2 linked regions of the Saccharomyces cerevisiae S288C genome follow. The protein of the gene in region 1 binds, or shares a complex with, the protein of each later gene. Each region holds a gene or a part of one and is shown in the gene's direction. Other genes may lie near its edges.

Region 1 (3,958 bases):
AAAATTTTTCAACCTCATCGAAAATTTTCAGAAAAGCAAGAATTATTTATGCTTTCGCAAAAATTTCGCATATAAGTTATTTTTGAAATAGCAGTCGATACCAAATTAGCTGTAGAACCTCAACCTCCTCATACAATGGCTTACGTTTTAACTGAAACTTCAGCTGGTTATGCTCTTTTAAAAGCTTCCGATAAGAAAATCTACAAATCTTCAAGCTTAATTCAAGACTTGGATAGCTCTGACAAAGTCTTGAAGGAATTCAAGATCGCCGCCTTTTCCAAGTTCAACTCTGCAGCTAACGCTTTAGAGGAAGCCAACTCCATTATTGAAGGTAAAGTTTCTTCCCAATTAGAAAAACTTCTGGAAGAAATTAAAAAGGACAAGAAGTCGACCTTGATTGTTAGTGAAACTAAACTGGCAAACGCTATTAATAAGTTGGGATTGAACTTCAATGTTGTTTCCGATGCTGTAACCTTAGATATCTATAGAGCTATCAAAGAATATTTGCCAGAATTGCTGCCAGGTATGTCTGATAATGATCTAAGCAAGATGTCTTTGGGTTTAGCTCATTCCATCGGTCGTCACAAATTAAAATTTTCTGCTGACAAAGTTGATGTTATGATTATTCAAGCAATTGCTTTATTGGATGATTTAGATAAAGAATTAAACACATATGCCATGAGATGTAAAGAATGGTACGGGTGGCACTTTCCTGAGTTAGCTAAGATTGTTACTGATTCCGTCGCTTATGCGAGAATTATTCTAACAATGGGTATCAGATCCAAGGCTTCTGAAACAGATTTGAGTGAAATCTTACCAGAAGAGATTGAAGAACGTGTCAAAACCGCTGCTGAAGTGTCTATGGGTACTGAAATCACTCAAACCGATCTAGACAACATTAATGCTTTAGCTGAACAAATAGTCGAATTTGCCGCTTACAGAGAACAGTTGTCCAATTACTTGTCTGCAAGAATGAAGGCTATTGCTCCAAACTTGACTCAGTTGGTTGGTGAATTAGTTGGTGCTAGACTTATCGCTCATTCAGGTTCCTTAATTTCCTTGGCCAAATCACCAGCTTCTACCATCCAAATATTAGGTGCCGAAAAGGCTTTATTCAGAGCTTTAAAGACCAAGCATGATACACCAAAGTATGGTTTGCTATATCATGCCTCTCTTGTTGGTCAAGCTACTGGTAAGAACAAAGGTAAGATTGCAAGAGTTCTGGCTGCTAAGGCCGCTGTCTCATTGCGTTATGATGCTTTAGCTGAAGATAGAGACGATTCAGGTGACATTGGTCTAGAATCAAGAGCCAAAGTAGAAAATAGATTATCCCAATTAGAAGGTAGAGATTTAAGAACTACTCCAAAGGTTGTTCGTGAGGCTAAGAAGGTGGAAATGACTGAAGCTAGGGCCTACAATGCAGATGCTGATACCGCAAAGGCTGCTTCTGATTCTGAATCCGATTCTGATGATGAAGAGGAAGAAAAGAAAGAAAAGAAAGAAAAGAAGAGAAAGAGAGACGATGATGAAGATTCCAAGGATTCTAAAAAAGCTAAGAAGGAAAAGAAGGACAAGAAGGAAAAGAAGGAAAAGAAGGAAAAGAAGGAGAAGAAAGAGAAGAAAGAGAAGAAGGAAAAGAAGTCCAAGAAAGAGAAGAAAGAGAAGAAATAAGGATGCATTTTACATTTTAATAATTAGTGACCCCTCGCGTTCCCTTTTATTTGGATTTAGAAAATTTTCTATAATTATCCAATGCTTAACCTATTTCTCATTTCATATTTTATTCCATAATCTGTAAATTAGTGCTGTACGCCCATATTGAATTGAACTTATTATTTTTTTTAGGTGATATATTTGAAATAGTATACATAATTTATGTTTACATAGTTTTAGGTACTTTATATCATTAAAAGTTTTGTTTAACCTTTAAAAAATTTGTACCATTAGCAGTTATAGGTATTCATATCGTGAACTGCGCAACTTAAAATTATTCGCGGGACGAAAAAGATATACAAAATTTTTGAAAGTGAGCAAAGGATGAGATGGTGCAATCGTTACTATTTGATATTAATAAAAAGGCAATCATCACATCAACCCTTAATTAATTTATGAACAAAACGGAAAACCTTTCTATTGAGGAGACAAATGAAATAAGGGAAAAGCTGGGTATGAAACCTATTCCAGTTTTTCAAGAAAAGAATACAGACCATAAAGAGTCTTTGTCAATCGAAGAGACGAATGAGTTGAGGGCGTCCCTTGGCCTAAAACTTATCCCACCCCAACAAAATTTCAATTCTTCTCCCCCTAATGTACATAACACATCCAAAATCGATGAACTTCGAGAGAAGATAACAAAGTTTCAAAAAAAGGCGAACGCTCCTTTACGAATGGCGCACCTTCTCGAAGAAACTAATGTAAATGACGACAGTTCATGGCTAGAAAACATGGATGCAATTCCTTCCTCACATGAATCCAAACGTTCCAGCACATTGCCAAGAAAAGGCGCCACGAAGGAAGACGAAAATATTGATCTGCATAATGTTCAAGTATCATATAATATCGAGGCGCTTAGCCCAAAGAAAGATACGATTCTAACTTTGAAAGAGAGCAGTATTTTTGATGATACTGATTCTACCGAAGTGTTAGAGAATGTGAAAGCTGCCGAGGAAAACGCTGATAGAGAGAAACTACGATTACGACAAATGAATAAAGATAGAAGACAAAAAAAAAAAATTTTAAATGTATCTAGCTTAGATATTGAAGAAGAAGAAGAAGGAGAGAAACACTCAATTACAACTACACATCTAATCATCGGAGCAGAACAGGGTGTTATGAAGGCACCGAATACTATATCAGCAAAACCACCAACGGGAAAAGTTAAAGTGAATTTCGATAGCGCAAATAATATGTCAGATGAAGATGGTGGAGACTTTAAACCTTTAAAAATTAAAAAACGTAAGATCAAGGACCCAAGATCTACTAAAGCTAGGAAGTCAAAAATTACTGATAAGATGGAAATTGTTAAGTTAGTAGATGAAGATGAAAGTTTATCCTGGATGGAAGAAGAACAGCCAGTCACCATAATAAATCCCAGAACAAGCTCAAACAATGAATTGAAAGGGCCAGAGGACCTCGCTAGAGAAATTGAAAAGGCAAGAGACGAAGAGAAGCGACGCACTGAAAGCATTTTGAAAATGCGTGAAATTTCCAACAGTATTGTCGTCGACGAAAAGGTAACTTTTTTAAATACTTTGGATACCAGTCTCTCCGAACGAAGTGCTACTGAGAATAAAGTGAAAGTGCATGGTGAAGGAGAGAAAAATATCGGAGATGTTACCAATGGACATACTAAGGAAGGGAGTGGAAACAATACACTGACTGAAGCAGTTAATAATGAACCAAACTACGAGGGAGATGCTGAAAATGCACCGAACTTTTTTTCTGGTCTTGCATCAACACTAGGATATCTTCGGAAAAAGAGTGTTTTCACCACAGGAGACGTCGATTTGAAACCAGGAAAGGATGTTAATAATAGTGAATCACTTCGAAGGGATGTCCGAAATAAAGAGCATACGGGCACTGGCACTTATACAAAAGATAAGCTACACGGACTGGAACAATTCACATCTAGTGACTCTTCCAATGCAAATACTCATTCAAAAAGACAAGATCATTATGATCCTGACATAAAACTGGTTTACAGAGACGAAAAGGGAAATCGACTGACTACTAAGGAGGCATATAAAAAACTGTCACAGAAATTTCATGGTACAAAAAGCAACAAGAAAAAGAGAGCAAAAATGAAATCCAGAATTGAAGCAAGGAAAAATACCCCTGAAAATGGTAGTTTGTTTGAATTTGATGACAATTAACCTAATCAGCAAATTCTACTAGCCCCAGCTTTTAATATTCAATATCTTGTTTTTCTCAAGTTTGAAACCTGTGTATAATTGTATTT
Region 2 (2,722 bases), on another chromosome or scaffold:
GGCTTTTGCCAAGTTCATTTGCGGTCCTTTTTTCACAGTTCCCTTGATGGGACGTAGCTCGCATGTGTCTGCATCCCACTTCAAAAACCTTTCTGGAGAAGTACTTAAGAAGCACAAAACTGGAGGCGTTTCATCTTGGCGGGGAATAATGTCTTTAAACTCAAAAAAACTTGAAAATGGAGCCGGGTTTCTTTGTACCAAGGTCTGGAAAATCCTCCAGGGTTCTATCACCGCAGATGGTACAACTTTGGTTTGCGTTGTGAGACACATTTCATAAGAATCACCCTTATGCATATAATCCTGACATTTCTTAAACGCCTTAGCGTAGTCAAGTTTATCGGGCATAGTTATAATGAAGTCTATCTCCTCTGGAAGATACTTGGGCCAGGACAGGGATTGCTTAATATTCTTCTTTCTAACAAAACTGTCCCTTAATGATTGTTCTAATGCCACTGGAAATGTATTATCCAGAGAAATACAATAAAGCTTCCCTTGCTTGTGATTAATGACTATACTATTGTTGATAAAAACTAGTTTGGCGTCGGGAACAAGGGAATTCTCATCATCATTGCAACGGCCGCATGCAATGTACTGACCTATTTCATAACCTAAAATGCCAACAAGACCTCCAATAAAAGGTATTTCTCTGTGGTTATCGATTATTTTATTCTCCATAAATTTACCCAAAGTGATCCAAAATTGGGATTTATCTTCATGTATTACCTCAAGGGAGCCAGGCAAATCCGAATCTTGACCATCTAGACACTTTTTCAACAAGGTGTAACTAATTTCACTATCTTGCCAATAATGAACTGTAGTCTTTTTCATAGCTCCATAATGAGTGAATACCTGGGATGCGGAGTTTGGTAAAGCAATGATAGACCATTCACCCGTATTTTCACTAATCACAGAAGATGACATGACAAATTTTTCTTCTCGTATGATGTTGCAAATTTCAAATGTCAATTTCGGGTCTTCAGAGACCTCGAACTGCTTAACGTAAGTTGTGTCCTCGCCCTTCGGATATTTCTCTTTTACCTTGTATATGGGGTCTCTATCAATAGTCCTATCCAATCGAGATAGGATATCGGAAAACTCTCCATTAAGTTTCTTCTTTTCCCACCTTCCTGTCTTCACGTTATTTATGAAACTCAACTTGAGAAAGTTACTGACTAACAGCCCCCCCAATTCTGAACAACATGACTCCGGGTGGTACTGTACGCCAAACCATGGCTTATTTTTCGTTTGAGCACTCATCAAAAGAATACCGTTCTCATCTTCGGTTGTGCATAAGGGCAAAAGGGTGTCAATGCCTTCGGCATTGACATGCAATGAATGGTACCTCGTAGATTTGAACGTATCGGGATAACCAGAAAAAAGGCCACAAGCTCTGGCTGCATCGTTTAAATGCATTTCATACACTTGCCCATGCTTGATAGTATTTAGCTCACTGACATCAGCACCTTGAGCCAAGCACATTGCTTGGAACCCAAGACATATACCCAATATTGGAACTTCATCTAACTTTCCATTGGCATTCTCGAAAAGCTCAGATATTATACCCATATCTTGTGCACCATTGTTGGGATTCCCAGGTCCTGGGCCAACAACGATAGCATCAAAAAGCGGCAAAAGTGGCAATAGCTGATCCATAGATTGGAACGTATCACTATGTACCGTCGTCACGTGCACGGCGTTGACTCCCGGTGAGATATCAGTTTGTTGTTCAATTAGTCTCACTACATTGTAGGTGAATGAATCATAAGAGTCTATGAACAGGACATGAAGCTGTTGCTGTTGTTGCTTTGTGTCAATTGTATCGGACAGCATTCCTTTATCCCCCTTGTGAAATCTCGAAAGGTCATCGTGTAAAAGTTCTACGGGAGACTTGCTTGTTTTTATATATTCGCGGTTTTGGCTGAGAGAGATGAGGAGGGAGAGGAAAAGATTGAGAAAGAGGAGCGGTGGCAAAGCTTAGATTGCAAATAAATACTCTGAAAATGATTGAGGTAGTTGTGAATGACCGATTAGGCAAAAAAGTCAGAGTGAAGTGCCTTGCTGAAGATAGTGTAGGTGATTTCAAAAAAGTATTGTCCTTGCAAATTGGCACCCAACCAAACAAAATTGTGTTGCAGAAGGGTGGAAGTGTTTTAAAAGACCATATCTCTCTGGAAGATTATGAGGTACATGATCAGACAAATTTGGAGCTGTATTACCTGTAGAAAATGCGCTGTTTTTTTTTTTTTGATCTAAATACACAATACATACATTTGCAACCGAGAGAGATAGAATATGTAGAAATAATAAGATGGCGTTGTCTCTATAATGCTTTTCTATTGTTTAGTAAGCTACAAGAAGTAATCAACATGTCTGTTAGAAGCAGATCTGGCTTGGTATACATCTGAAAATATGTACATTTCAGGGTCCGTGGAGCCATCTGCGGAGGCAGAGTCGTCTTCGAAATAATCTGCAATCAATTTCCTGTTGGCTACCGGATTAGATATGCTATCTTCTAAGGCATTGTCGTTCATACTGTTCTCTTTCAACAGTTTATTTTCAGGTGCCTCTTCGAAAACGTTGAAGTAGAATTGATCTTTACTATACAGCTCCAGAATAGATGCTTTATTGCCGCACCGATAACAATAGTTTGGCGCCGACCATACAGTAGTAACCAATCCATCAAAATATATCTGGTAACCTTCGTTACATAACTGATGGGCTC

Evidence for each region. The genes of interacting proteins can lie anywhere in the genome.
Region 2: the proteins of SNU66 (region 1) and HUB1 are in contact, whole or in part, in a crystal structure (PDB 3PLV), measured with the Saccharomyces cerevisiae proteins. Residues at the interface, in NP_014953.3 of Saccharomyces cerevisiae: Ser37 (codon at 2,217), Leu38 (codon at 2,220), Ser39 (codon at 2,223), Ile40 (codon at 2,226), Thr43 (codon at 2,235), Leu46 (codon at 2,244), Arg47 (codon at 2,247), Leu50 (codon at 2,256), Leu52 (codon at 2,262), Lys53 (codon at 2,265), Leu54 (codon at 2,268), Ile55 (codon at 2,271), Pro56 (codon at 2,274); in NP_014430.1 of Saccharomyces cerevisiae: Met1 (codon at 2,001), Val14 (codon at 2,040), Arg15 (codon at 2,043), Lys17 (codon at 2,049), Cys18 (codon at 2,052), Leu19 (codon at 2,055), Asp22 (codon at 2,064), Asp26 (codon at 2,076), Lys29 (codon at 2,085), Val30 (codon at 2,088), Leu33 (codon at 2,097), Gln34 (codon at 2,100).

What each region holds. Positions count from the first base shown.
Region 1 is NC_001147.6:894,538-898,495, reverse strand, and holds SNU66 (U4/U6-U5 snRNP complex subunit SNU66), read left to right. Parts: upstream 1-2,108; coding exon 2,109-3,872; downstream 3,873-3,958. Other genes in the region: RNA-processing protein NOP58, read left to right, coding at 136-1,671. UniProt on the Saccharomyces cerevisiae protein: Component of the U4/U6.U5 tri-snRNP particle, one of the building blocks of the spliceosome. Required for pre-mRNA splicing.
Region 2 is NC_001146.8:686,743-689,464, reverse strand, and holds HUB1 (ubiquitin-like protein HUB1), read left to right. Parts: upstream 1-2,000; coding exon 2,001-2,222; downstream 2,223-2,722. Other genes in the region: ABZ1 (4-amino-4-deoxychorismate synthase), read right to left, coding at 1-1,830; putative serine/threonine-protein kinase PPG1, read right to left, coding at 2,349-2,722. UniProt on the Saccharomyces cerevisiae protein: Forms conjugate with SPH1 and HBT1. Involved in morphogenesis.